Linked DNA regions of Caenorhabditis elegans. Each later gene encodes a partner of the first gene's protein in a complex. Each region holds a gene or a part of one and is shown on either strand. Other genes may lie near its edges.

Evidence for each region.
Region 2: unc-97 (region 1) and pat-6 share a complex: the UniProt entries of both Caenorhabditis elegans proteins name them as parts of the integrin containing attachment complex.
Region 3: unc-97 (region 1) and pat-2 share a complex: the UniProt entries of both Caenorhabditis elegans proteins name them as parts of the integrin containing attachment complex.

The regions. Positions count from the first base shown.
Region 1 is NC_003284.9:5,588,795-5,597,652, forward strand, and holds unc-97 (LIM domain-containing protein unc-97), read left to right. Parts: upstream 1-4,338; 5' UTR 4,339-4,367; coding exon 4,368-4,510; intron 4,511-4,566; coding exon 4,567-4,679; intron 4,680-4,729; coding exon 4,730-4,850; intron 4,851-4,897; coding exon 4,898-5,050; intron 5,051-5,101; coding exon 5,102-5,345; intron 5,346-5,389; coding exon 5,390-5,514; intron 5,515-5,572; coding exon 5,573-5,720; 3' UTR 5,721-6,171; downstream 6,172-8,858. Other genes in the region: mec-2 (Band 7 domain-containing protein), read left to right, coding at 1-1,484; sulp-2 (STAS domain-containing protein), read right to left, coding at 7,142-7,317, 7,367-7,634, 7,686-7,758, 7,813-7,919, 7,978-8,345, 8,785-8,858. UniProt on the Caenorhabditis elegans protein: Component of an integrin containing attachment complex, which is required for muscle development and maintenance. Probably function in adherens junction.
Region 2 is NC_003282.8:259,159-268,483, forward strand, and holds pat-6 (Paralyzed arrest at two-fold protein 6), read right to left. Parts: upstream 5,075-9,325; 5' UTR 5,067-5,074; coding exon 4,899-5,066; intron 4,854-4,898; coding exon 4,778-4,853; intron 4,733-4,777; coding exon 4,545-4,732; intron 4,485-4,544; coding exon 4,350-4,484; intron 3,803-4,349; coding exon 3,512-3,802; intron 3,457-3,511; coding exon 3,238-3,456; intron 2,902-3,237; coding exon 2,851-2,901; 3' UTR 2,728-2,850; downstream 1-2,727. Other genes in the region: dpy-9 (Nematode cuticle collagen N-terminal domain-containing protein), read right to left, coding at 1-45; pqbp-1.1 (WW domain-containing protein), read right to left, coding at 1,042-1,189, 1,518-1,759, 1,974-2,081, 2,126-2,252, 2,305-2,522; T21D12.12 (BPTI/Kunitz inhibitor domain-containing protein), read left to right, coding at 7,293-7,463, 8,458-8,548, 8,593-8,706, 8,881-8,944, 9,002-9,113. UniProt on the Caenorhabditis elegans protein: Involved in the regulation of cell adhesion and cytoskeleton organization. Component of an integrin containing attachment complex, which is required for muscle development and maintenance.
Region 3 is NC_003281.10:8,814,857-8,827,712, reverse strand, and holds pat-2 (Integrin alpha pat-2), read right to left. Parts: upstream 8,815-12,856; 5' UTR 8,812-8,814; coding exon 8,639-8,811; intron 8,592-8,638; coding exon 8,354-8,591; intron 8,308-8,353; coding exon 8,184-8,307; intron 7,867-8,183; coding exon 7,455-7,866; intron 7,392-7,454; coding exon 7,162-7,391; intron 6,913-7,161; coding exon 6,437-6,912; intron 6,381-6,436; coding exon 6,244-6,380; intron 6,152-6,243; exon of another isoform or gene 6,060-6,151; intron 6,020-6,059; coding exon 5,825-6,019; intron 5,351-5,824; coding exon 4,639-5,350; intron 4,182-4,638; coding exon 3,345-4,181; intron 2,882-3,344; coding exon 2,735-2,881; 3' UTR 2,439-2,734; downstream 1-2,438. Other genes in the region: F44E2.3 (uncharacterized protein), read left to right, coding at 55-216; F54F2.9 (DnaJ homolog subfamily C member 1), read left to right, coding at 486-826, 1,252-1,736, 1,797-2,106, 2,250-2,358. UniProt on the Caenorhabditis elegans protein: Required for muscle development probably through the regulation of the actin-myosin cytoskeleton. Component of an integrin containing attachment complex, which is required for muscle maintenance.

The DNA.
Region 1 (8,858 bases):
ATTCGGCTCCAAATAAATCAGAAGATTCAGTCTCGAAAGAATTCGAAGATGCTCAAAAGGAGTCCTCAAAACGGAAAAAAGAATCTTCTAGAGATGAAGAAGCAGACAAAGAATCAAAACCCGAAGGGCGCCCACCATCCGGAACTACTCATTCTTCGGTTAGAAAATTGAAAGCCGAGTCTTTGAAAAAGAGTGAACCCAGAAGAAAGACAATCGGAGATCGAAGAGACTCAAGTATGTCTGAACTGTCTCGCGGTTCATTCAAATCCGTGACTTTCAATGACCGAGTTCAAACTCACGAGATTGAACGAAACAGCAGTGTTTACACTTCTAGTGAAGACGATGCTGCAATTATGAGCGATGATGAAATGTCAAAGCCGAGTCAAGCGAAAATGAAGAAAAAGCTGACAATGTTGCAGCAAAGTCCAAGCCAACAGATCCGACAAGAGCATGTAGACATATATGATGATGATGATTTGGATGATTTTGAAGAACAAGAACGATTGGCACTTCTTGCTGCTCAAGGATACGACTTTAGGCGTGAGATGCAATACAGAGAAGATGGAGATATTGAGTATGATAATGAATCAGAGGAAGAAGAGAATGAAGAGGAAGAAGAAGACACCCTCTCTCAAAACAGTTATTACGCCGAGGATGTAGAGGGTGCTGATATCTACTTGAGAAATGAGCACAGTTTCCTTGAAACCGATCCTAACATGCAAACACAGATGCAAAATATGGCGGGGTATGAATGGTTTGATAGGGCGATGATGGGATCGATGGGTAAATTACATGGCGACGATTCGGCTTCGAGCAGTTTGCTCCTAAACTATAATCTTCCACGATCTGCAAGCGGATACTTTGAACCGCCGCCAGAAGCATCCCACATGAATTTCTCTTATGAGGAGGCGATACTCAATCGTCAAGCTCAAGCTTTACACCAACAGCAACTTTTGCAACAACTTCAGAAGCTTCCACAACAACATCCACAGAAAGAAGTTGCTGGAGAACACAAGCTGAGCCCTCCGACTGGTGGTGTTCTGCGTCAAACTGCAACGCAGAGAAGTATATATGAAAATGTAACAACGGGTGATGCACCTTCGCAACCACAATCATTAATCATTCCTCAATCCCCGTCCGCAAAAAATAAAATGGCTCGAACTGAGTTCTTCACGCAGACTCCATCAAATGTGGTTTCCAAAACTATAATGGCTGCATCCAGTGATGGACAGAGTATTCAAAGCCTAGGAAGTACCGATTCAAATGCGACAGTAAGAGTTGAAGATGAGATGCGGAAAAAGTTCGTTGCAAGATTTGGAGTACGGAAGGCGCCAATAGCACGAGAAGAAGATCCAGCAGATCCGAAGCATGGAAAAGTGATGGGAAGTCAAGAAAGCATGAACTCTACAGATTCGAGGGAGTCCGTCGTTTCGGCGGCTTCAATTAAAGCGGAAGCATTGGCTCGCCGAAATTTCAACTACTAGTTATACTTGCATCTTCTTCTCCGCTTTCCGCTTCTTTCTGCACATCACAGTGAGTTTGAGCACATTTTTTTCAAAAAAAGGAACTTATTTGGAAAATTTCTCCAGTCAGTTTAAAATACTAAATTTAGTTTCAAAAATAAGTTCCTATTGTTATTACGTTATTCAATTCAATTACGTTTCCAATTGTAAATTTTTCAGCACTTCTGATCCGATAGGCAAGCCGATCAAGGAACGGTATAACTTTAACGAAATGGACCGTAATCTTTCCGCACTGGTCAAACCACTTTGGGCAGGAAATGAAAAAGAAGATCGTGCTGAAAAAGACGATAGTACATCATCTTGATCTGCTCCGGCTCCCCTCCCTGTCTGTGTGATTCTTTTTGTTTCTTTCAATTTTATCCTATTATTCCAATTCAACGCTGATGCATTACTATTGTTGTCATATTTCATTTCTGTCATTTTTTAATCAAATGTGCTGAACATTAAAAATTATCTGATCTCTTGAATCCCTTGTCTTGTTTTATGAATAAAAGTAATATATCAAAAAAAAAAGTCGAATGGAACTGCTGAAAGTGCTCCTTTTAGTGCGCATGATATTTTTCACACATATTTTTTTTGAAACGGTTTTGATCCGTGTCCAGTATCCATATTTGATTTTTTTAAAAGAAATTTTAAAAAGTTTGTGTAGACAATTCAATGTTTAGTTTTCCCTTTCAAGCTAGTTTTCACTAACAGGAAGATGCTATAAAACTATGAAACGAAAAACTTCAAGAAAAGGAAATTGAAAAATTGTGATCTACACAAATATTTTTCTAACATTTTCAAATGTGGATGATGAACACCAGACATTCGTGGCAACTGTAGACCAACTATTTTATAAAATGAGCCAGTTTGGCATGTGCTCACAAACTTTTTTATGGAAATTCAGAATATGGAAAACTACTTACTTTCTCTGAAAATAAGATTTTTTTAGTTGGGAAAATAGGACATTTTTGAAAGATTTTTCATTTGATGTTTTAACTTTCGGATTAATTGTGAGCACTTTTTAAATTGTTCCAACTGAAATTAAAAATATTTTTAGACAAGCTAAAGATTTTTCGATATCACTGAGTTTCAATTAAAAAATTTTGAGAACATGCCACACTGGTTCATTTTGTAGAAACTCACTTTGAAACTTATAGATTTGTGTAATAAAATACTCAGTTTAGAATTTATACACTGCTCCGAAAAAAGTCGGTCCAAAAACCTCTGTTATCGGTTTACGATCTTCTAGAAAAAGCGGTGGTATTTCTCAACACTGCGCACAGCTGTTTGGCAGGTGGAGGCATTTCTACTGGCAGAGGACCTCATTCTATAATGTCATCATTTCAAAGTTAGTCATTGTTTTCAAGCTACAATTTCTGGATTTTTGTCATCCTGATATATGATACTAGCTCATGATCAAGGCCAGTCGTAAGAATATAAAAACACAAACGAAGGTCAGATACTGAACATTTATCTGCCAACATTTGCGGGGTTCGTACTTTTCAACCATGTCTTTTGATTTCTCATATCTAAACTGATGATCCTTTCTTATTCTCACAACTGTCTATAAACATGTGTTAGAAAAAGCTTGTTCCTGCCTGTTCCGAGTATCAACGAGCAGCAATACTTGGCTATTAATGTGACCCTACGCACGCAACCCGATTGTATGCGTCTCTTCGAATCGCGCACTCTTCCCGGAGTCGTTACGTCTGCGGCCGTAGTCTGTGACCCCCCGCTTGGCTGTCGGCCAACCCGCCGCGCGCGCATTGCCTCTCGCTTTCTTCCACTCTTTTTAGTTGTACATTCTGCGCACTTTCTTTTTGCCCAGTAAATGCCCATATCACTGTGTGAGGAAAGTTGATTTTCAACAACTATTATCATTTTTAAGGTGTTGTTTATAACTATTACTATGTTTAAATATAATTCAAAACTTTATAGTTTAGCCGTATAGAAGTTGTATTGAATTTTTGGTTTCATTTTTACAACTAGTTTTATTTTTAAATGCAAACACCACAAAAGAAGCATTGTTGCTTTCCTCCGTTGCATCTCAAAACATCTGGTGTAATACATGTATCACATTTTGAAGCGTGAAATGTGCCGCTTCACTGAATTTTGTTATGTAGAGTAGTACATAGAAAGTCAAAAAAAAATCGAAATAACTAGTTCGAATTTTTTCCCATTTAAACACACGATATCCCAACCGATGTTTCTGAAGAATCTTTTTTCTGTTCCCAATCAATACTGATCATCAACACATCGGATACACGTCTCCCTCTGTGAGTTAGTCAGGGAAGCTGAGGCATCCTGTTGAATCTGTTGTGCAGCAGCACTCACACACATACTTTTGTTGTTCACTTATATCTCTATCTCTTGGTTCGTTTTCATTCTTTACACAAAATGCAATGGCAAAAGCTTCCACGCCACCGCCTCCGAGTTCTTCTTACACATATGTCAACCCGTCGCATCCTATACCTTTGGCACATTTGCCTCTTCCTTGAGGATTTCTTCTTTTCTACTGTTTCACAGCCCCCTCGTATAATACCTCCAGTGTTTTTACGATTCTTAGAATATGGAAATTTCTGTGTTTATGCAAAAATTTACTTTGCATATAACAAAATGTAGATATGAAATTCTGACTTTTTGTGCTCTTTTCGATTAACCAACATACCTAACCTATACACACTATATGCTTTCTCCGGCTTTCCCTTGTTTGTACATATTTGTCTTCATATTACTCGCTCGCTTTCTTTTCTTCTTTCCTACCCCCACCTTTTTCCTTACAAACCCATGGTCGTTAAACCATCCTGTGTGCATAGTGGCCAACTTTCAGTGGTTCAATAATAGATGGTGTGTGGCGGAATGGATTCCGACCACAACCATATCAACGGGGATCTCGCCCATGGCTTCGAGAACATGGTGTGCGTCCGTTGTAATGATGGTTTTTCGATGCAAGATCAGATGGTGAACTCTTCCGGGCAAGTATGGCATTCGGAGTGTTTTGTGTAAGTTTTTATAAGTTAGAATTAAGAGAACTCAAAAATTGCAAAAAAATTTTTAGATGTGCTCAATGCTTTGAGCCATTCCCAGACGGCATCTACTTTGAGTATGAAGGACGAAAGTACTGCGAGCATGACTTCCATGTTCTGTTCTCACCATGTTGTGGAAAATGCAGTAAGTATCTTTGAGAAGACACGCAGAGCCATAAATGTTTTATATTCTAGACGAGTTCATCGTTGGACGAGTGATTAAAGCAATGAATGCCAGCTGGCATCCGGGATGTTTCTGTTGTGAGATTTGCAATAAACAGTTGGCCGATGTCGGATTTTTACGGAACGCTGGACGGTAAGTTGGAGAGCGTAAACGAAGCTCGAAAGAATTTCAATTTTCAGAGCTCTCTGTCGCGAATGTAACGAACGGGAAAAGGCAGCAGGTCATGGACGATATGTGTGCCACAAATGCCACGCAATGATTGATGATGGACAACACATCAAATTCCGTGGAGATTCATTCCATCCTTATCACTTTAAGTGCAAACGTTGCAAGTAAGAATTTATCTTGTTTTACAGTATGAGTTGAATTTAAAAAATTTTCAGCAATGAATTAACGACAGCTTCTCGTGAAGTAAACGGAGAGCTCTACTGTCTCAGATGCCACGATACCATGGGTATCCCAATTTGTGGAGCATGTCACAGGCCGATTGAAGAGCGTGTCATCGCGGCACTCGGCAAGCACTGGCACGTGGAGCACTTTGTCTGTTCCGTCTGTGAGAAGCCATTCTTGGGACATCGTCACTACGAGAGAAAGGGACTTCCATATTGCGAACAGCACTTCCACAAGGTACTTGAAATATGAACAAGCAAACATTAATAAGTTTGTTGCAGTTATTCGGAAATCTTTGTTTCAAATGCGGAGATCCATGTTGCGGGGAAGTATTCCAAGCTCTTCAGAAAACGTGGTGTGTCAAATGTTTCTCCTGCAGTTTTTGTGATAAGAAACTTGATCAGAAGTGAGTGCAAAACTATTCATATGAACTTGATGAAAACAAATTAATGTATGCATTGCAGAACGAAATTCTATGAATTCGATATGAAACCAACATGCAAACGATGTTACGATCGGTTCCCCACAGAATTGAAAAAGCGCATCTCAGAAAGCTTAAAGGACCGCGACGTTGAAAATCAAAGAAGATCGATGAGTCCTGGACCAAAATAATAAAAAAGAAAGAAATAAAGGAGTCCCCGTAATTCATCAATTTCCATTAAAGAAGTAATACTTTCCAAATGCCATTGCTCATTTCTCTTTCCCATTGTTTTTAATACCTTGGTGCTAAAAAAAAACATCGTGAAAATTGTTATCAATCCGTTTTGTCTTTTAAATGCCTTATATTTCAAAACTATTTTTCGGTCACACAAAAATGTCATTGTACTCATTTCTAGCTCCATAATTGTCCTTCCCCTTCCCTTTCCCAGCTACTTTTTGATTCAGAAGCCTTCTGAAAACAATCATAACTTTCGACCAAATTTTTTGTGTTCCTATCCGCAAAAACTTTGCATCTTTTCTCGGGTGTCATTATTGCATAACTTGATTTCTGAATTTTTGTACTATTTTTTTGTTCAGAAAAAAAATATTGACTGTATTGAAACAAAATCGTATTGTAATATTGAATCCTTTTTTTCGGCATCAACAATCAATTTGTAATCAGTGATCAACAGGAAGGTGAGTCCATAGCGCCCGGAGAGATATTTTTGGTTCAACTTGAAACGTGTTAAGTGAGAATTATACTTTCCAGTGTCAAAATGTTTGTGAAATTTCTAAAAATACGAATGAGCCAGTAGAAATGATCGTATTGCACTTGAAATTCTCTTGGGAATTTATTTGTTGAAGCTTCAAAATGTGAAAGAAAAATTGGGCTATTCCAACAAAAAACGACTTTCATCGTTTTTTTGCTCAGCAAACTCTGTTTGATCATTTTACATAAAGATGAAATAGAGTCGATGATTTTTTTTTAAATTCAAAATGACAAAAAAAATTCAGTTTCCAAGAAGTTAATTTCGTTAAAAAATAAATTTTCAATTATCGATTATTTGAAGAATTTCCAACAAAATTCTTCTTTTTTATCAATTTTTTTTTTGGTTTTTTTTTGTGGAAAAGTCTAAAATTTTGTAAGATTCTGTTATTACTCAAAAATCACAAAAAAGGACAAAAAACTGACACAACTGTAAAAAACAAACATATCAAAATTAGGTAATTTAGTTACGCGGGTATGGGAAAATAATTCAATACTTTCTATTTTTTTTTGTTGCAAAATTTAACAATTAATTAAAAAATTCAGAAAAATTCAATGATTTTTTAAACTGTTGTGCTTATTATAGTGCAACTTTTTTCCAGTCATTGAGACCAAAGAATCCATAGATGTTATTCCATCTTTTTCCAAATTTTATTTATTGACAAATATCTAATTAGTTTAAAAATCTAAAATCAAACCTCAATTTACGGTAACTTTATTGAAAACTTGAAGCATGAGCAAGTTTAACAAAAATTTCAAATATTGACCCAATAATTACACATATTATGACCCATATGATTAACAAGTTGATCAATTGATAAAACTGATAAATAATGATCTATGTATTCTAAGGCACAATCTTTTCTGGCGGCATACTTTTCTCGCAATCAAAAAACATTTTATGATTTTTAATTAATTCGTGAGCAGAATCCAGCGCATCTTGAATGGAGGGATACATTTGATTTCTTCCAATATTCCCTTCTCCAATCAGGCCAGCATTTCCATATTGTCGTCGGAGTGATGCTGAAATATCCCAGCTAAGGTTATAATTGTTTAAAAATTTTAAACTCACACTTCAGATTTGCAAACAACAGGAGTATACGAATTTGTCGTAATTCTTCATTAATTTGCTTCACCGCAGCAATCCCCATAGAATCCGTATAAATCCAAGTGTGGCAGTCAAGAATGATTGCACTCCACTCAATATCCTCTTGGGAATCGCAACTCGCGCTTCTCTTTTTTGTGGTGGCTGATGTCGAATCGCGAACGTTATCGAGAAACTTCTCAACGTTTGCGAAAATCAGTGGTGCATCAAATCTAATGATTCGGAACGATGTTTCCTTGAAAAATAAGTTTTTGGAAAAAAGTTGTCAGAGGGAAATTAAATTTACCTTTGCCAAGCTATAGTGATTCATTGGTCTAAAATCATTTGGTCGGATTTGCCCAAGAAGTTTAATCGTAGGTCTGAAAAATGTCGAAAAGCTATGTCAATTTTGCGTGTTAAATCTACAAACTCACTGCTGAGATTGTATTGCAATTGTAAAAATTGCCGTGAAAATTCCAGCAGCTACCCCTTGCGCAATATCGGAACTTAGAGTCACAACAGCAGTAATGATCCAAATCCACTGAAATTATTTTGGTTTAAAAATTATTTTGGGTTATTTTAAGTGATTAAAAACCTACGAAGTCATGTTTGGAACACCTCCAAAGTCCTGGTAGTACTGTGCACTTTCTCAACATAGATTCTAGGACAACAATTACAATTGCTGACAGAATACAACTTGGAAGTGATGCTAGATAAGGACCGATTGTTGTAATCACAAGTGCCATGAAGCAAGCACTCGTTATTCCAGATAGTTGGGTTTTAGCTCCACTTCTTTCGTTAACAAGGGTTCTCGAAAATGAGGCTGATGTTGGAAACACCGAGAAAAACGAAGATCCAATATTGATAAAGCCGAGGGCTAGAAGTTCCTGATTGGAATCGATTCGATATCTGTGCTTTGTGGCAAACTCCTGTCCCATTGCCATTGTGACAGCATATGCGACAACAGCTGGAAAAGAGAATGAGGCTGTAACTGATAAATGGCAAGTTTTTAACCAGCTTCGATTTTTCGCACCATAATACAACTTATAGGTTCGGTTTTACGGTGACTTGCTTGGATTTTTTTTTCTGAATTTTTTAGTCAATTATTATTCAATTAGAAATGAGACCCGCCGCATGTCAACTGTTGTAAGTTTTTCCGAAATAGCATCATGTATTTTTGGTACTAACAAGAATTAAAAAAAAATTATCGACAAGCTTTTGTTATTTGAAAATATTCTGCTAACTATCATGGTATTTGAGCTATACGTGTCTGAAGAACTCAAGCAAATTTGTGCACAATAGACAACAAACAGAATATTGGCTGGCACTGTACATATTGGGCTATATTGAACAATTTGATGTAAAATCCCTACTAGTGGCCTTCATCACCTTCAAAGAGAACCTACCAATTGAAAGTGCGTCCTGAAAAATGTACGGCCAGATGTCGATACGGGGAACATCCGGATACGGAAATCCACGG
Region 2 (9,325 bases), on another chromosome or scaffold:
ACTACCAACGATGGTAGACGTCCGCCATATGTTGGACGGTTCCATTCTGCAATAATAAGTATTGAAAACAAGAAATATAAGGAAAACTTTAGGGAGTGTACTCAACAAACTGATCAAATGAAATGGAGAAAATCGAAAAACGGATGAAAAAAATGAGGGCGCTGACCTCTTTCTCCGATTTAGGTGATTGATAAGGGGAAGAAGGTAACACACAAGAAACTAGGATTCCACATTGAGAGAGACATAAAAGTGAAAGATCAACGAAAATAACAACATAGAATCAGTAGAATGTAATTCTAATTTACGATTAACTATTTTATTAGGCCAAGTAATAAGTTTTGTCGTTTTTTCTCAAATGCTTTTTTGTGGTTATAAAGAAGAGTGTTAGCACTTACAAGCCTATCAATATCAGGCACATTCAAGAATATTTCCAGCTCAAAACAATATTCTGAGAATGCGTATCGAAAAACATATATATATTTGACGCGCAAAATATCTCGTGAAAACTACAGTAGTTCTTTAAAGATATACTGTAGCGCTTGTGTCGATTTACGGGATCGCTTTTCGAAATGAATTTTAATAATTTTTTATCGATAGAATATTAGAATTAAGAAAAATTAAATCATTTCAAAAATCGACACAAACGCTACAGTATATCTTTTAAAGAACTACTGTAGTTTTCGCTATGAGATCTTTTGCGCGTCAAATATGTTGTGCGATACGCATTCTCAGCATTTAGTGTTCCTGTAATATTTCAATTACTACCATCTTCTCAGTTTATCTCTCCATTGCTGCTTTTTTTCTATTGTACGTTTTATTTAATGCATAGAAACAGTTGATGAATTTATGGAAATGTTTTGGAGAAGCACAGAGAAAAATTCAGATGTCTGAGCACATTTATGTGCATAGAAAAAGAAAAAGATACAGGTACAACGGTACAAAACAGAACAAATAAATAGTAGGAAATGACAGAACTTTTGGAAGGAAGTGGAGTAGGAATTTTGAATTAAAATAATCAAAAATTAAAACAATAAAATTGAATTATTGATCGTCCTCTTCATCCTGTGGTTTCTGCTTTCTGAGAATTGCTCCCGGAGCAGGATAGGGTCTTTGTTGGAAAAGTGGTCCACCAGCAGTCACGTCGGCTCCAGTCACCTGATCAACTCGAAGACCATCCGACCATTTTCCACTGAAATATCATATAAAAATCAAATTTTTTCGCTCAAATATTATTTTTCATAATTTTTTCATATCGACATTTCGCCGGAAACGTTGTATTTTCGGGTTGCGTACTTTTGAAGCTACCGTATTCCCCAAATTTCAAATGGAAAATTATAATTTTCTGAAGAAAAACTATAAATTTAGCTAAAATTAGACCGCTGAAAAACGGAGAAGTTGGAGATTTTAAATTTGAGATTTTATTTATGTTTCTCGAAATTTTTGAATTTTTGAATCCAATTTCTTGAAAATTCTAATTTTTTCGCTTCAGAAACAGAATTTTAGAAAAAAAAGCTTACACTGGAGCATCTCCATAAGCTGCTGGATCCATTGGATCAATTCCTTTCCTTTTTGCTCTTTTCAGTCTATCCTTATTTGTCATTTCCTGTAACTCGTCTTCATCTGAATCTGGACCCTGTGACGTCATCGGATCACGTCGCTTCCGCTTTTCAGCATTATTGCCACGTGATTGCTTATCATCATTCCCTCCGCGTGAAGTTTTCTTGTTGTGGAAATTTCTGCGGCGGGCGGCATTGTCCTCCTGGAAAAAGTACATAGTTTTAAAGAATAAATGTTCGGAAATTCGTATTTAAAGGCGCTCGGATCCTTATAAATGAGTCTCGCCGCGTTTTGTCCATGAAAGTTTTTTTCTAGAATTTCTTGAGCAAACTGTTGAAAATAGCAAAAATAAAAGTACAAGCTACTTTTTTCCGGCGGCGATACCCATTAAGTACGATTTCAGCTTCAAATTCTACCTCAGATGCGTGAGAATCTCCAAAAAGCACTGTAGCATGCTCTCTGGCGATTCGAGGAGCTGGATCACTGATAATAGCTCGTGGATGACGAGGCGAGTACCAACAAACCTGAAAAAAACCAATTAAAATCAGAAAATTATTCTGCTTCTCACCTCATCTGTTGTTTTATTCCAGAAATAATACTTCGCAAGTCCCTCATCATAGACTTCAACCCAATTTTCGGGAAGTGGAAACTTTGCAAGCATTCTGTTTTTGTTCTGCACATATCTCTCGGGCAACCTGCAAAAAAAAACGATTTTTAATTAATTTTTCGCTAAAATTCAAAACAAACCGATATTCCGGAGTTCCATCGCCCCAATGATCATAGCAAAATTCGAGGCAAACGTGATATTGATTCCATTTATTTGGACAACCAGGTGCTCCTGCCGAATTCTCTTCGAAACTTTTCTTTTCTGGCTCTTTTTCATAGTTTTCAGCGATAACCTCTTCTTCTTGCTTTACAATTCCCCTTTTTTGAAGTCGAGCGAGAAGAGCTGGTGGAAGAGGCATTTTCTGTAAAATAAATACAATTTTATATACAATCAATTCATATTAATTAAAATAAAGAAACAAGAATAAAAGAATCGATGAGAAAATGCATTAAATTTTATTAATGCAAACGCGCCCCATTGCAAATCTCCTTTACGAGGGAGTTCAAATAGAGTTTTTTTTTCGGAATTTGCCAATTTCTTTAATTTAATATAGTGCTAAGTCTAAAAATTAAAAGATTTATTGACATAAATGCAATTTTAACAAAATTAAAGCACCATAGTTGTTGAGCCAGACACAAATTATTGGACGGTGTCGTTTGATTAGGATGACGAATGAAGTTCTCAGATTAGATATGTTTGTACTTAGTGAAAAGCAAATGGAGAAGACGGAGAGTGCTCTGCAATAAAGAATGAATTAGGATTGTATATAGAAAATCCATCGCATCAGATATGAGCAGAAAATTTGTTTTTGCCACTTGTTTAAAATTCTTCGGGATTGCTGAATCGTCGTGAAAAGAAAATTCGACAACTGCGAATGTAATCGCGCTTCAACCAAATGGCGATACCTAACGAGACCCAATTAAAGGAGGCGGGACATTTTCATTTCCGGCTGAAGCGCGATTACACTTTGATTTCAATCCCTTAAAATTTTGCACTATTTAAAATTGAGGATTGTAAATTGAATTAAATTAGGAAAATGGTATATTTTTCTGTAAATTGTCAAAACTACAAACCTTAACATCTCCATTGGCAATATCCTGAACACGAGATCTAGGCTTCTCAAGGCCAGTGTCTTCCATAAGTTTGAACGCAAATTGCACATTTTTTACTTTCTCCTCGTGGCTTTGAACTTGGAGATTAAAATGGTAAAGCGGGACGAAATAACCTTCAAGAAGTCCCACTAGGAGAACTAAGAAAACTCCGTCCTGGAATTGATTATCCAAATCAGACACCTAAAAATTTACAAATATCAGCTTCTTTGTAGCACAATGAAGTGAATAAACTTACTTCCAGATTAATTTTATTCAAATGCTTATTACAAAAAGCCAACAAAGATGTCTTCACATGAGCCAACTTATCGGGTCCATAATCGAAAAGCGTATCAAATGCGTCACGAGTGCCCTTCGGTGCCAACTCAGTTTGAACTGTAGTGATTTGCTCAGTAATTCGATGGGTCTTCACTTGACCATGTTCCTTTTGAGCCACCACAACGTTAGCAACCACGTTATCTGGGAATCGAACTGGAGCACGGTAGTGAAGAGCAAGAAGCACCAGGAGCTGGATGATGGCAGTGAAGTCCTGGGAATATTCTTTTATGAGAAAATATAAAATATGGAAAGTAACTCTGTTTATTCGAAAAGTACTGTTGCGTTCAACTATCGTATATTCTCAATAAGTTTTGCATCCAAAAACCACCTCGAAAATTAGTATTGCAGTTCACGAATTTCTATATAGATTACCAGCCGTGGACCTGGGGGTGAAAACTGATTTTTTCTGAAACTACAGTATTCCTACCGTACCACTATTGTGCCAATACAGTACTTCGACTATATCCCTACACTAACCCCAACTCACTATCCCAAGAAGCCAAAACTTCACAGACTACAAAGACTACATAGACTACAAACTATGGACACACAGAATAAGCGCTTTATATATAGTAAATGATGAATAGTATTGTGTGGCGGAGGTGTCCACAGATTAACATATCATACTAATATAGAATATACGGTAGTTTTTGGAACAGCTTCGAGTGAGAAACTCTTTTGTCTACAGTGCGTCAAACATCTGCACAATGAAATGTAAGACTGATAGAAATGAACAATTCAGACAAAGATTTGCGTACCTTTTGATGAATAAGATCCGCAGACCATTTCTCTTGTTCTCTTGGCTGTCCGAGAATTCGATTGGCTGTTTGAACTACAATTTGCAGTTTTTGACGTTGTCCTTCTTCTGACTGCGAAACTTCTGGAACCTCGATCTGTAACAAAACTGTGAGTGGAGAATTTATTCAATTTGTGAAATTGTACCAATAACTTACTCGAATCTGCTCCAACTTTTCCAACAGCTTCTGGATGATTTGACCATCGAAAAGATCTTCTTGCAAGTGACGAACGACAATTCTTTGATCAGCTAGCTCTTCATTAAGCCAGTAGATCAGCAAATCGACAACTTGTGCCAACTTCTGATCGCGGGCTGTTTCCTTAGTCAGATAACGACGAATTTCTCCTGGAAAAAAATATATTGGATAAATATATTGGTGAAACCGTTTACCTTCTTCCAACCAGATGTTTCTTGCAAGAACTGGGACCAATGACTGATCGAGAGCCTCACGACCTTCAAGTTCAAGCTGAAAAATCTATATTTGCTAAAACCATTAATTTGCAAAACTAACCTCCAAAACTTCATCTTCATCAGTAGCATGATGTGCACCCCCTTGGTTTCCATGCTCATCTTCCGGCGCCTTCTTCTTTCGAGAAAGGGTACCAGAGAGTTTCTCAAAGACTCCAGGCTTTTTTGGTTCGTCACGAGATGGGGTCTTACTACGACCAAGTGTTGACATGGTTATTGCTGAAAAGTTTAAAATTATTAAGGGGTAAATATTTGTTGATTCATAATAAAAAATAAAGTACAATTAGATATTGATAAGTTAAAAAAATTTTGAAGTCTCATTATGAAACTCTGTTTTGGAACATTTCCTCTTTAAGCACTTAAATTTAAATTTGAAAAATCGATAATTCAATGTTCAAATAGCAGTAAAAATATTGTGTGGGAGGATTCTTTCCGTAGAGCAACACAAAAGTCCCCATCCAGGCCAGCAGATAGTGTAAAACAGCCGTCGTCAGTGTTGAAAAAGTGAGAGAGTGTTGGGAACAATAAGAGACGTAGAGTTGGAAGGAGAGTTTACGACAAATGAGAGATTGGGTGAAAAGAGGATGGTGCAGATAAATGGTGTGTGTGGGGGAGAGAGAAGGCTTTGGGATACATATAAATGTATGGGAATAGGAAAGAAGAACGGAAAGTTAATATTTGTATATGCATATGTATTGAGAAAGAAAAGGACGTCCATATAACAACTAATATTCAAATAAATAAAAATAAAAATAAATTAAGAAAGACAACAACTCTGCATTTACCGTATTTTCGCTATTAGTCTTGCATGCGAGACTAATTTTCAATTGGTCTTTAGGGGTGCAAGACTAATAGAGACTGAAAACTATTTTTCGAACTTTGGAAAGTGATACAATTTTGACCGTTCAAACAATGAAAAATACATACTTTCCCAATATTACATCAATTATTTGAACGATTTTACATTTGATTTACTCCAAAAATGATAAATTTGCTTACGTTTCCACAAAGTTCTGCTAATATGACAAAAAGTGGGGTGCTAGACTATTACAGGCTGTAAGACTGATTTTCAATTAGTCTGTAGGAGTGCAAGACTAATAGAGGAAATACGGTACAGTCGGTCCACAGGTCGGTCTTTTGAAAATAGTTTTTTCCATAGCAATTTTTGAAAAAATTTTGAAAAACAATTTTAGGAAAAAATTATGAAAAATCACATCAGTTACATTGATTATACGTACGGTACATTCGATTTCCTGGCGTATGATAATAGTTGCATTAAACCGAAATCAGATTAAGAAACATTGAACTAGTAATTGTAAAAATTAGCATGCAATCTAGAAAATTAGGAAATCTGAAAATTATTAAAGGTGGAGTAGGGCCAATGGAGTAAGTGTTAAAAAATACTCCTATGGTGCCAAAGTGACAAATAATCATAATAAAACTTTTCAAAACTTTTTTGAAAAATTTTTATTCACTGTCAAAAAGTGTTCAATATTCAGTTTTTGCCACTCATAATTTTGGAAGTCGACCAAAAAAAATTATTTTTCCTACATTTTTTATACTGTAATTTTGTTTCAATTATTTTTGTTGAATCATTGTAAAGACCGGAATATGCGACATTGCTTTGGATGTCCTCAAAAGCTCATATTTGTCAAAATTTTGGTAATGTGCCAAAACTTTGACCGAAATTAGGGAAAATCTAAAAATTTTTGTAGTTTTATTATGATATTCGGTCGTTTGAAATCATAATAAGCGTATTTAGACAAAATCCCCATTGACGCTACTCCACCTTTAAATTTTTGAAATTTCGTGTACTTCCTTCAAATTTGTTTAATCATCAACCCGATGCGTCTATCCTTCGTTATCAACAAATTGTAGGTGTCTGTGTCAAGAACTATTGTATCTCGTACAATCGAAAAACCAGTTCCTTCATTTTCAAAACGCTCCCTTATTTTCTTTGTTATCAACAATTCGATTTGTAAAAACGGAACCACATCGATTGTTGTCTCTTGTTATTACATCAATTCCTACACCATTTTCAGTCAAAGTGTGGATATTTTCTGAAAACTGAGCGATTTCAGCCAAATATTTGCCTGTTTTTCATTTTTCAATAAAACTTTGCCATGTTTTCAATCGTGCCCATTGATCTTTAATGAATTCTTTTTCGGGAGAATGTGTAGGTTATTTGTTAACCACCAACTCAATTTTGAACATTTTCCTGTTGACCAAACTTTTGATATTTGCCAAATCTTAGTTATGTAGGTGGGACGAAGATTCTTAAGTAAATATTGCTAGGAATTTGAGTATAAAATAGGAAAAGATCATTCGAGAATTGAAGTTTTCTTTTTGGTTTCTGCTTTTAATTGGCATTGGCTAGTAATATTATTCCACTCTCATTGATCATTAACGGGTAAAAAAAATTGTATTTTTTCAGACAATGCTAACTGCAATTACGATTTCCACCATTTTCATAACATTTTGCTTTGCTCAACAGCAGACAGATTGTTTTTCCGCTCGCGATACTGGAAATTCTGGATGTGGTCAGCAGGGAGCCCGCTCATTTTATTTCCACAAGAATACCCGCACATGTCAGCCATTTTTCTATCAGGTACTGTTTTTTCCAGTAGTCCTTTAGCATACTACCTATATTAGGTTTAGGTTTAGGCTTAAGCTTTGGTTTAGAGTTAGGCTGACAAGGGAAGCCTTTCAGCTCGTCCTCGGACTTCCGAATGAAACCTATTATAATTGAAAGAGGACCTTAATAGAAGGTCACTCCAAAATTTTTAGTCTCGGAGGAGGCTTACTAGGGAACCGTCAGAAGGTGCCCATCGGACTTGCATATGAGACCTATGCCATTCGATAACCCATGTCTTAAAACGGTTACTCGTGAATTTTTAGCTGCGAATCTCCAGAACCAAGCTCACGGCGAGCTCTCAAAGATCTTAAAATAGCACTGTAACGAAGCTTTGAAAGGTCAATTTTCCAAATTCACTTTGGTAGCTCATATCTCCGCCGATAAATTTTTTACAGAAAAGTCATCAACTAAAAAGTTGTTGATATTGTTGTAAAGAACAAGTTTTTAGTTAAATCTGAAACAACAATTTTTTTGATAAAAACTTTCAACTACAAGTTTTTATCAAAAAAATTTTTAGTTGATGACTTTTCTGTAAAAAATATATCCACGGAGATATAGGCTACCAAAGTGAATTTGGAAAATTGCTTCTTTTCATCGTTACAGTGCTTCGTTATAGTGCTATTTTAGAATCTTTGAGAGCTCGCAGTGACCTTGGTTCTGGAGATTCGCAGCTAAAAATTCACGAGTAACCGTTTTAAGACATGGGCTATCGAATGGCATAGGTTTCATATGCAAGTCTGATGGGCACCTTCTGATGGTTCCCTAGTTAGGCTTAGGTTTTGTCATAGGCTAAGGTTAGGCTTATGCCCAGGCTAAGGGCCATACTTACGGTATATTCTTAGCTTGTGCTTGAGCTGATGCTAGGAATATACCTTATCTTCTCACAAACGGAAATTTCTCGTTGAATTTAACAGAATAGTATACTTCTTGGAAAAACGTTCAATTAAAATGAATAAAACAATTTTAGGGATGCGACGGCAACTCCAATCGATTCCAATCGAAAGAGGCTTGTGAATCAGCTTGCCGGAACGCGACTGCTTCTGACGATTTAGCTTACGGTTAGTTGAACAATGGATGACAAAGGTGTATAATAGTTTTTCAGCTGTATGTCCATCTGGAGCATACCCAGCTGGAGCCACTTCTGGTCAGACTGTTGGATGTTCGAATTGCCCACATGGTTACGAGTGTCAAAATCAACAATGCTGTCCAACAAAAGGTTACTATTTTCTGAAGAGATTTTGAAAAGTTATAGTGATCTTTAAAACACAAGTTTAAAGCGGTTTGTACTTTGTCTGAACACTGGTGTTTTAGAACTAAAAACTCTGTTTCGATGTGTAAATATTTATTCAAATGTGAAAGAAGCACAACAAAAGATCGAAGAAATTTGCAGAAAACACATGTAGTTTGCAGTACGACGCTGGAAAATTCGGATCTAGTGGAAAACATACACCCAGGTAAGAATTCAACTAATTTTTATTGTACTTTCACGGATTCAATAAATTAAATTTCAGATATTTCTTCTCAAAGTCCTACAAGAACTGCATGCTGTTCACTTTCTATGGCCGCGATGGAAATGCTAACAACTTTGCTACGTACAACGAATGCAAAAACTTTTGCATGTAACATTTTAGCAAATAACAGTAGTTTTCTTAATGTATATAAATATTTCAAACGAAAACAATTTATTTTGCACAAAGACCTATATAAATGAATCATGCAAGTTGATAAAAATTACCAAAAAATCAAGTAAAGACGTGTTTAAATATCTTAATACTAGTTCAAAATAGATATTATTTACAGTAATATCACGGAACAGAGAAACTGGAATATCATAA
Region 3 (12,856 bases), on another chromosome or scaffold:
TAAATTAAATCAAATTTCCGCACTTCGACCTAATTTAACAGTTATTCATTTCAGGAGGAAGATCGTTTGGCAATGCTTGAGCAAAAGAGCCAATTGGAACGAGATCGTGCTGAACTTGCACGTCAGAAATCGGACATGAAAAAGAATGAGCAGCAGGCGATATTGAACAAATCAGGCAACTCTCGGGCTCCGATTAAATTCAAATTTGGGAAATGAGCACAAGATGAACAAATCGCCTGTGCACCTGACTTTACCTCGCCGATCTCTTCACTCACTTCTTTCAGAGTTTATTATTTTTTGTTTAATGAAGCCACTTTAAAATTTAATTGTCTTCGCTTCAAAATTTCGTAAAACCAAATAAAAAACTTTGTTATTTATTATTTTTTGTTGGTCCAATAATAAAAATGTATACGTAAATCGTTTAAATCTCTAATTTTTATAGATTAAAAAAATTTGGTTGAATTTTCTGAAATATTTATTGCAGAATGCGGGTCATCCTTCTCCTTGCCTTCCTAATATCCTTAACAGAATGTCAATGGACATCAGAAGATTTGGCTCTATATGATTTAGTGGAAGAAGTCGGAGTTAATTTCTACGAGTGGTTCGATATTCCACGAGATGCCTCGTCGAATCAAGTAAAGAAAGCATATCGAAAATTGACACTTGAATGGCATCCGGATAGGAATTCTGCGCCTGATGCTACGGAAAAGTTTCGTCAAGTTGCTGGAATCTATGAAGTTTTGAAGACTACAGAACTTCGTGAAAAATATGATAATGTTCTGGAAAATGGGTTACCTTCGTGGAGGCATCCTATGTATTACTATAGGTGAGGGAATTCACATAGTGGTTTTTATTTTTGAAAATTGGAAAAAAAATGTACAGAAAAATACGAGAAAACTACATAAGATTGTTATTGTTTTTCTTAAAAAATTATGCTTTTTGACTGTAAATATATTCTTAAAATTTGAATGAGTTTTCCAATTAATCATATAAATAGTTTAAAAAAATCCCCATTGCTATTATACGTTTTGCGATGGTTTCAAAAAAAAAGTAACTAGGTTTGCCCAATAAAAGTTGCGTGACAATCTTAAATCTGATCAAATTCAGAAATAAAATGCAATGTGTTAGTCTTAAAAATTGGCAGAAATACCAAAATATTTTCCTTCCCATTCCACCATATTCCATATCACATGGTTAACTGAAATAATTCGGATTTTTTTAAAATAGTGTTTTATAAATAATTTTTTCCAGACGAATGCGAAAACTTGCATGGTATGAAGGAATCCTTGTGCTTCTTTTTATCGGAACTATCGCTCATTACCTGATGATGTGGGCGGCATATTTCGAGAAAACTCTTGTCTACAAACAAAATGTGAAAAAATCGCGAAAATCGAAAAAAGAAGATCCAGCGGAAGCAGAAAAATTGATGAAACAAGCACTTGAAGAGTATCTTCCAAAATATTCAGAACTTCTTCCAATTATTCTTGCTAGAGGTACAGTAACCCTCTTCAAAAACTTGGCATTGACTGCTAAAGATGCTATGACACCTAAAGAAGTTGAACCTGAAGAACCAACAGAAGAGGAGTTGGCTCAACAGAGAAGGCAACAAAGAGCAGCAGCGGCACCCCAGCAACTAGAGTTTAAATTTGAAGTGGCTCAAGGTATGAAAGCAGTTTCCACAAATGATCCTGAGATGGAGAAAAAGTATGCAGCAGAAAATGAAGTTGTAGCACAGAGTAAGTTAATTTATCAGAAAAAAGGTTTCTGAACTCTACTCAATGATCTTTTAATTTCAGAACAATCTGGAGCAACATGGACGCCTGATGAATTAGCTAGTCTGGTTCGACTGAGCACTGAAAAATACCCGGCTGGAACACCGAATCGTTGGGAACAAATGGGTCGAGTTTTGAATAGAAGTGCAGAAGACGTTATTGCAATGGCTGGAAAAATGAAACAGATGAAGCAAGAGGATTATACGAAATTGTTGATGACAACTATTCAACAATCAGTACCAGTTGAAGAGAAATCAGAAGATGATTGGAGTCAAGCTGAGCAGAAGGCTTTTGAAACCGCATTGCAGAAATATCCAAAGGGAACTGATGAAAGGTTAGCTTGGAAACTAGAAATGGGTATTTTGAAATTGAGAACGCTCATCCTCCAAGCGTTGGGTTTCGTTAGGTATTGACGGTAAAATTTCTGGGTCCCCATAATATAATATCCAGAGGAATGTTTTAAATATTAAATTTCAGGTGGGAAAGAATCTCCGAAGAAATTGGAAGCAAAACGAAGAAACAAGTGATGGTCAGATTCAAGCAATTGGCTGAGATGATTCGAAAAAAGAAAACCAATGATACCTAGTTTTGTCATAATATTTATTCCGTTTTTTTGTTGGTCGGGTTTGATGAAATTCCAAAATTTATTGTTTTAGACGCGTTTTAAATATTTATTTATTTATTAAATTTTTATTAATAAATTGATGATAATAAAAGAAAAAACATCAAAAATATCGACTAGAAACATGTCAATGTATTGGTAATTAATTGGAAAACAAAGAAACATAATATGAACATATAAAGCACCAAATTGAGCGGAGATTCCGAAAAACGATCGAACATGAAAGTAAGATTGGGGGGCAAGGCACGACAAGAGGACTAAATTGGGACCAAAATGATAATTTTAAAAAGACACCCGCAGATGTGAATAGTAAAGAATAAGGAACAAAAAATGGAAAATATTATAGCATTTGTCCGTGACGTCCCTGATTGTACTGATCTTGTGATGTATAACGGGATTGACTATCAGCGTATTGAGCATTTGGTTGACGGTCGGCACGGAGTTCTGCATGCTCAGTTGGTGGACGATTACGTTTGAAGAAACCACACTGAAAATTAGATTATTATTATTTATTTTCTGAGGGAAACTGTAAATTTGTTTCGAAATTGGTTGTATACTGTAGTCGCTCTGATCTACCTATATTCTACAGTACCCCCGACGTAAGCTCGCCGTGGACGTTGCTGTGAAATTTTCGAAAGCGTGTGAGCACAGCTTTAATGTCGTAGGCAACTTCTTTTAAATTCAGTTTTTCTTAATCTTTGTGACAATCATTTTTTACCTTTCGAAAATGGCAGAGTTTGAACCATAAACTTTTCTCGCGGCGAGGCCCATCCGAATAAATCAATGAGGCTTTGAGAAACCGCTTCACAAAATTGGAAATTAAGATATAATTTTTGCTGCGTCACAAGTAAGCATGAAAGTTGGCGAAAGAACTTTAATTTAACTTGCAAGCCAATATCTATGTTGTTATGTAATAAATCGTATTTTTGAAAATTAAATTTGAAACTCACCCTCCAGAGCAGTAAAATAAGAAGAATCAAAATGGCAAGTCCAATAAGAATAGCCAAAAGATAAAGCCACCAAGGAAGATCTCTTCCTTCTTCAGAAGCAATTGCATTCATATTTGTAGATACTGCTGTTATCAATGTTGGCTTATGTGGAAGATTGTATTTAGTAGATGTGACACGAGCAAGAGCCAACGATGAAATGTCTCCTCCAGGATTTTTCTCATCAACCAATGTGTTTGTGTATAATCTAGAGAAGATTTCCACAAGTACAAACTCGTCTTCTTTAAGATCATAAATATCACATTCAATATGTGTACATCTCAATGAATTACAATCAACAGATGCTCTTGATAGTGGTCCCTTATAATCAACAACTCCTCCAGCTTCCTTCGAAAGTTTAACAGCTTCACGAAGATCAGAGAATCTAGCCTTATCACTTCTTGGTTCACCACGGTGTTCTCCTCCCTTCTTCTTCTTCTTTGGTGTTGGATTTCTTTTAACTCTCTTACTTCCAGCTCTATCAAAATCTTCATCATCTTCCTCTTCAAAATCATCTCCATCATATTCCTGATCGTCTGGAATATATTCATAATCTCCCTTCTTCTTTTTATCCTCAACATATTGCCAATTTCCAGTATTCTGACGAATCTTCTCCTCGTCTTTTTCGTATACATGTACTGGACCAGATTGATGATGAGTTTGATGTTGTGTAGATTGATGACGTGTTGATTGGGATTGAGTTGTTGTTTCATCTTCATATGATTCATCATCTTCTTCTCTTGAATATTCATTTGGTGTCTTGGCAACTGGTGGTTCAGTTGGAACATGCTCATTTGTTATCTGAAATTTTAATTCGTTTTTAATGTGCGACAGTAATTTTTTGTGAACATTTATAAAATAAGATGTTCAGGATTCTGAATTGAAAAAAGTGAAGTTTGTCAGCCCGAACCGGAAAATCAATTTTTTTTGTGATATTTCAGCATATTCGATTGTTTCCAATATTTTTTTTTAACTCGCCGATTCTAAACATTTCAGAAACTGACGAAAACAATTCTTCAAAATTTCCCAAGAAATTTGAATTTTATCCTAAAAATGATAAAGTTTCTTACTTCTATTTCTAAAACAAAATAGTTCCTTCCGTATTTCACTGCAATTTTAAATGTACAGAGTTATAAAATTCAGTGTCTACAGAAATTGGGGATTTGCAACGACTATGAGATCGTGGCAAGACCCACTCAGAAAAACAGCGTGTACCTTTAAAGTAATGTCTAGAAATTTAAAAATTATTCAAACGTACCCTCAAATTCAATGGATTAACATTTTGCAGTTGTTTGACCCGACATCTTCCTTTATTTGGTGGATTAACAACTGGTTCTGTGATAATGTACAGAAGATGACCTCCTTCAGTGGAAAATGATGGCCAGAAGATATCCAAAGTAGCTGAGTCAACCTCAGATGGACCACGATTACTGATTTGATAAAGATGTGAAACAACTGGACCAATTTCATTGTCATCGAAAGCATCTACACGTGTTTTGTTCGTCATTGAGAAATCGACTTGTTCGGGATTTGATCTACCATTCAAACTCAATTGATTCTTAAAATCAACTGGAATAGTGAATGTGACTTTATTATCAGCAACAGTATGAGCTTCTTCATCATTACTACTGTTCACATGAGCATTAATACTGATTGGAGCAAGTGGAGGTTTATCAGAAGAAGCAGTCACTCTTACAACACTACTAACTACTTTGTTAGCTGGAAGTGGATTGCCGAGATCACATGCAAAAGTCCATTTTCCATCCGAATCTGGTTCATCGGAAGTTGGAGAACAAGCTGGAGCAGACTTGCTTCCATCTCCACCAACACTTTCAATTCCACCGTATTCGAATCCTTGTGGAACATCGAAATAAAGTTTTGTCTCATATGAATCTTCTCCTCCATTTTGAACTGTTACATTGATAAGCATTGTATTGTCTTGAGTTCCCAAAAGGAATTTCTCACGATCACTGAAAAAATATGTTTAAAAGAATTTAATTGCTGGCATTTGGTTTATAGGTTTAGGAATAATTATTTTAATGATATGATTTCACTGAAAATTTCGCCGATTCCGTGAAGAAAAGAAACATACAATCTTCGTGGAATTATTTTGACAGGAAAATCCTGAAGCAAACATTTTAAAAATGGCTGTGAACTTGTCTCATTATAAAAAATGTTTTGAAAATTGTCGAGTTAGGTTACATTGTATTTTGTGTTATATTCAATTTTTCTCGCTCATTTCCTTATATTTTTTTGAAAATTTTAAAATTAGAGTAATGATTAAAACATTTCGAGACAAACCCATTTTTTCAATAATTTTTCAAACTTACTGTAATGAGGATTTTCAATGTTTCCCTTTCTTTTATATTCAATGAAAAAATGGCATATTTAATGTATTTTTTCAACACTTTTTATCGATCATTTTGAAAATTAAAAAAACTTACGCAACAGCGGTAACCTTCAAATCAGGAACACAAAGATCATCTTTTCCACAATTATTTGCAATATTAATCTTATTTTGGAATGAAAGTGGTACAGTTGTGTCAATTGCTGGTTCAAGCTTATCACCACGAAGTTTTCCGGTTTTTGATTCAACATATGTGTAGTTGACGGACCAATGAATTGGGGAGAGCTTGTCTCTGAAATTATTTTATTTTTGATTTTTAGAAAACATTTTATTTTCTAATTTGAAGGTTTGCAAAGCATACGAACTATTTTACATTCAAAAATTAGCCTTGAACTTTTTTTCACAGCAGAGCAAACATTTTCTCAATTTTTTCTGATAAAAAAATTTAAAAAGTTGTGGTCATTTTGAGTTGAAAAACTTTGAAAGAAAATCAAAATATTTTCTCTGAAAACTCACTTCATTGTGGAAGAAGCAAAGAATCGATGTCTGAAACACTTTTGTCGTCCCTTCTCAAGACGAACACGTTGTTCGATTGAAGATGGATGGTCTCTTGTTTTAGATCCTTGTGCAACTTTAATGCTTCTGTCAGATTTCTGAAATATTATTATTGTGTTAAAAATTTTTATCTAGTTTTAAAAAAGTGACCTACCACATCTTTTTGCAAGAAATAAGCTCTTGGTTCAGGAGAATGATCATCAAGATTGAATCGAAGATCAAATTCCAAATCATTTGGTGTATCTCCTTTTCCTTCATATTTGAAACATGTATTAATATGTTTGCATGCCTGTTTTCCCAATTTTCCATCAACATCGCAATTCTTATCTTCTACACTGATCAATGCACTCTCTGGTTCAGTTTGTCCCGTGACAGTGACAACTGGTTTTGTGAGTAAAACAGCTGCATTTCCAGATTTCCATGCTCCAACTGCAATGTCTGGCATTCCATTTCCATCAACATCTTCGTTTCCAGTAAGGGAGAAGCCAAATGATTTGATATTTCCATGACCAATATTGGCTCCTTCGATCTTCTGAGTTGGTAGTTCGCGAACACCATCTTTGGATCCGTGGATCACATAAACAGCTCCTTGTTTGTTTTTTCCAGCATATGGTGCACCAACAATTACATCTGAAAAACACTATTTTGTAATTTAAAATTTCCAACAAAAAATGCAATAAATTTCCATAGCGGTTCAAATGAGATTGAAAGTTCAAAATGCCGCACAAATTTCCGATAATCTAGGATTTTTTATGTCTAAAGAAATTGTTAAATTAAGAAAAAGAAAAGTGAAAATACGAAAACTAAATTTGAATTTCCGCGTAAAATAATTTCTGTGAGAAATTCAAATTCGTTCATTTTTAGTAGCAAAATCCCTACCATTATAACCATCCAAATTCAAGTCTCCAGCTGCTGCGACTGCGTGTCCAAATCGTCCCCACTGATCATCTCCAACAACTGCAATCTGTTTTCCAAAGACTCCTGGAGCAGTTTGAAGCATCACAATGACCTTTCCGACATCGTATTGTGGTTTTCTTTCTTGTGTTTTTGCGTCTTTCACGCTACCGTAATCTGTGTAGAATGGGCAGCCCATGATAATGTCGTCGCGTCTGAAATTAATACAGAGAATATTTAGAGAATTGTAATTTTATGTGTTTGTGAATCTCACTTACCCATCTTTATTTACATCAGCAACTGCAACAGATCCTCCACAATATTGTCCATGTTGAGTTGACACCTCATCAGTCAAATTGATCATCATCTTCAGTTTCGACGTGTATAACACCAATTTTCCGTGCAAATCGTTTCCACGTGGAACTCCGGCAACAATATCATCAATACCATCTCCATCAAAATCTCCAGTTGCTGTAGAATATCCCATCATATCGTGATCGTATTCCTTGCTACCGTACTCGGTATTCGGGCGGTCTGTCTGATTTTTGATGTTCTGTGAGAACATTGCTCCTTGCCAATACCACACACCGGGGGCTCCAATAAAAACACGATTTTGATTCTTCTTTCCTGGAACTGCAGCCGAGAATCCGCACTGACCGTATCCAAGACGATGACGACCGTGGCGAGCAGCTGTAATTTTTCATCTAATTTTTTATAAAGTTACCAATTGTTCGAACTCTGAACTATTCCAAAAGGTTCAACAATTTTCAGATTTTTTTCAGGAGCCTCTAGAAGTTTCTAGAATTTTCCAAAAAAATCTCAAAATTTTAAGACGTTTTTAACAGTGTCTTGAGGGTTGCAGAAACTTTTCAAACTATTAAAATATTCCTGCAATTCCTCAAAATTTTCAGAAGTTTCTAGAACTTCCCAGAACTTTCTTTTCTCGAACTCCTTTTTCCAAAACTACAGTACCCCTGCAGTACCAATTAAGTATCCCCAAAACATACGTTCTTGTTTGCACGATGAAAACTCCTCCGCATTATCAAATCCATTTTCAGCATAGAAACAGGTTCCAACTGGCTCAATAACTTCGAATTTTGAGTAGAAATATGTGTATTTTGGAGCACACACCTGGAAATTTAATTTTTAATTTTCAAACTCCGCAGAATAAACCTACCACAATTTTATCATGCTTATCATTTGATCGAACAGTTGCACCAAAGAATTGATGTGATTTTTCTTCAATTGGAACAAGATGTGATCCATTGAGTTTCTTCAAGTTTCCCTTCATTTTATCCACGTGGACTTCTCGGCATGTTGCCCGGTTCACGGAGCAAGCATAAACTGCTCCAGGTCTTCGGATTCCAGCCAGGTTTGGGTTATTGCTTTCAGCTTCAGGGGCACCGACAACGAGGCTGAAATTTTTGAATGTAAAATCTGTTCAGTTAATTCAATAACTTACACAGGCATTCCCTTCTGCTCATGGTAAAAATCGAGTGAGTATCCAAAGTAGTTACCAGCCATGTGATGAACCACTACATTTTTTGTGTCGATGTTGAAGGTGGCAACTCCGGCTAAAAGGCCCAGTAAGCCTAGAAGCAAGCCGATCCTTCGCGGAAAACTACCCTCTCGCATCTACTGGAAATTTGGAATTCGGTTTTTTGAAAACAATCAGAAAGAAGTTTGCAACGAGTATACGGAAGATGAAACGATTTTAGAAGTTGATTGAATAGAAAAAAAATTTCAAAATCTCAAATTCAAAAGTTCCAAGAAATATTTTTGAAAGGGAAAATAAAGAACTTTGCTTGAATTTTAATTTTGGAACGTTTTTCATGTCTAAATGAATTAAATTCAAAGTAGCGACCAATTTCACTGAGATAATTTCAAATTCTCAGTTAACATGTGGATCAATGAAGCCTAATCGGTGTCTTTTCCAAAAACCGGAAGGAAGGAAAAATGGAATTGAACAGAGCACACGCGATTGCGAAACAAAGAACTGACCCTCCGAAGACGACAAGTCATTTATAATTGAGAAGGGAGCTCTACGAGCATTTGACACACTCACATTGAGTCATGAACATATCAAGAAATGAATTGAACGAACAGGAGAAGTGAGCGAACGGAAATTAACGGGGGAACAAAATGACCCGTGACACGTGGAGCAAGATTGATGAAGAAGCAAAGTAAGGAGCAATTCGAATTTTGCATAAATCTCAATATTTGTTGTGTATTGAGCGAGAGCCAACAACAATATTTTCTCAAATGCTCAATTGAACTATTTCAAAATGTTTTGACTGTTGAAAGTTGTTTGCTGGAACCTCTAGCTTTTGAGTTGTACTCATTCGAAAATCTTTAAAATTACCGGAGAACCCTCAAAATATTCAGAATATTGGCTGGACTACGAGTTAAAAATCAGAAATTCGAAGTTTGTGAAAAACGTACAAAAAGGAAATTCCGAAACAAAACTGGCATCTGGAGACTCATAGTTATCCCATGAATTTCCGAAAAATACGATGAGTCAAGAGTCGTTTGAAATAGAGAAGGGAGGAAGGGACACATAGTTTCTTCAGTTTCCGGATAGTTATCAAACATATGTCTAATGGTGAGAGAGTGTGAGAGACGAAGAGACGTAGACATTGATGGAAGCATGAATTGAGGATGAAATTGGGAGGATGGAAGGGGGCGGAGGAAGAGGCACCACTTATTTGGGGACACGAGAAGCAATTAGTTTGGAATCAAGTAGATATGCAGTTACTATTTTTGAAACACCAAAGAGATTTTCTAATATTTTGAAAAACTTGCAAAATTATTATAATAGTAGACGTTCAATCTGACCAGACCAAAATTTGATAATTGAATTCAATTTTTGAACCTACTTGGAATATCAGGGAAACTTCCTGCCAAAATTCGACAATAAGTTGCCACAGATTTTAAAGTTTTTAAAGTTTCAGTTTTCACAGTGAAATCTAGTTAATTCAAGTACATAAATATTGTGGTCAAAAACGTATTGCACCAATACTAATAGAACAAATACGGCACTTTCTCCAATATTTGTAGTATGTGTTTTAAAAATCACGCCTACTTGAAGCCCATCAGTATACGAACAACATTTTATATATTGGTGAAAAGTTCATGTAATAGAGAGTATTGGGATGTGGGCATGAAGTAATTGTCAGTAGAATCCAAGATATGGTTGACTGGTGACTGTTCCCTCTCCGACAAAAAGGTCATGTTTTGAATAGAGAGGAACAAGTGATAAATTGAGGGAACGGGGGGAGGATGAATTAATTGGGTGGTTAGGAGGAAAATGAATTTTTGGAAAAAAAAGATGTCGACAAGATTTAAGGGAAGTTAAATTAGGAGGTAGGTTTTGAAAAAAGAATCTTAAATTGATGGGTCATTTGTGAAAAGTAACGTTGACTAACTAAGCAACAAAAAAATCATAATCCCTTCTATAAAGATTAATAATCTTCATAATAGCTTTTCAACTAATACATGGTGAACATTACCGTTTCATTACAACCTAAAACAATTAAATATTTATTACCGATCATTCTTTTTGATTGTCAAGAATTGCAATCATAGGAAAGTCGAACATTTATAGAATTCAAATCGGCGACGCACAAAGGTATCAATGTTAAAACCAAGCATTTTACTATTATAATAAAGTACTTAATTGTGCGAATTATACGATCTTAGTCAATAAAACAATTTCCAGAAATTTCATTTCCAAATCCAGGAATAATAAATCAAAGAATCCCAAGAGCAGGTGGTGCAGGTGCTCATGGAGCACACTTTTTGAAGAAAGAATAGGGGTCTCGCCGTTGGTAGTGAATTCTCAATGATGCATTCGAGCGAGAACAATTTTTTTTGTTGAAAGAAGAATGTGAGACATTCGGTGAGACAGAGAATATTCAGAGTGTCGAAAATGAACAATATACTCTTTGCAGGAAAATTACTGAAGAAGCTGGGTGTTGGAATTTTTTAGATGGATTTATAATTTAGTATAGAAATGCCAAATTTTTGTCTGAAATCAGATAAGAGCTTGGTTTTTACACAATATTTTATTTGATTTTTGAAAAACATTTGATGATTACTTGATACTTTTTAATTCAGAAAACAGCGGGATAGCCTATTATTATTGGAAAAAAATGTCAAGAAGGGTTTGAATAATAGACGTAAATAAGGGCCTACGAAGAACCTTAAAACTTCAAGTTTTACGTATGATTTCTTCACTCAGAACTGAGCAAATTATGTTGTCGATTTATGTTGAGAACTGTTCGATTGTACAGTCCTCTAAAAAGATTCTCCTAAATAATTTTTTAAAAAGCTTTAATCCCCTGAGAAAAAAATCTACGAAGCTACGGTTACTGTAGCTATTGTGTTTTTTTTTTAAATAATGAGTTCCCACTTTTTGAGATTTCACAACTCGATATGCAAAATTGTAGAAAAATTCAATGAGATCAATATCAAAAATCATAAAAAGAAGAGAAAACGGAAAGTTGAGAGACTGGATAAAGTGCTCTACGGGACGACGGCACACGGGGGAGGATGCGAGATGGCAGGAGCAGCAGAAGAAGAAGCAGTTGCCTTCTTTACATCGTTGATATTCTGCCTGCTCATACTCTCTCGCATTGCTACACACTGTTTATTGGGCTCTCTTCCCGAGGGCTCTTCGACTCGGCAGATCACTTGGATGACCGCGATGCTCTAACACCAGACGCCTACGTTCCCTCTTACCATCTCTCTTTCTTTTTTTCTCTTCTTAGATCGTAGAGACGTTGGATCAACCGGGGAAAGTATATGAGAAAAGGGACCCCTGTGTGTTTTCCCGACGTTTTCGATTTCGAAACACCTTTTGAACAAGAAATTGTACAATTTTGACAATGCGGAACTTAGAAACAGGGTTAAGAGTTGTTGTAGAGAAAGTAACTAATAATAAAACATTCGGAATTAAAGAGCAACAATGTTCGACAGAAAGTTGAGAAAAACTGTCAAAAAGTTCTCAAAGCTAGATAGAACGTTGCAAAAGCTTAACAGTAAGCTTTATAAAGTGCTACTCACTATCAGATCTCGTTGACATGAAAAAGGAGGAAGTTGGCATGGTATGCTACTAGGTTTTCGAAAAACAAATAATTTTTTAAAAACAAATACCATTCACTTTGCAAAACTAAATAATTCGATAAATCTACAGTTCCTTCAGCAACTCGATTGTTTGCAAAAACACAGCCAAAAAATGTTTTCCTAAACTTCTGCAATGTTAAATCAAAACTATGGATTGTGGTGAAAGACCCGAAGTAGTGTACACTATGTCGACGATTGCTTTAGTTTTGAAAGAAGATGGATGTAACACTTTGAATCAAAAAACGTTGAGAAAAGAAAGAGAGGGGTTCCTTTTTTCTTGACTAAAAAATTGAGATGATGCCCCATGAGAGATGAACTGAATATTCGGGTATTTTGTACTGATTATGGAAGAATTTGGAACATTTGATCTGCTGAATGATATAACTTTTGTAGGCACCTCATATAATTTGTCAAATATTTTAGTTAACACATTTAAAAACTACGCATGTTTCCAAACATTTCCCAATGACTAATCAGAACCTATCAGTTACCGAAATGGTAGAATTCAAAATAAAAGTCTGTGAGTCATAAAAAGTGTCACTAATAACCATTTGAC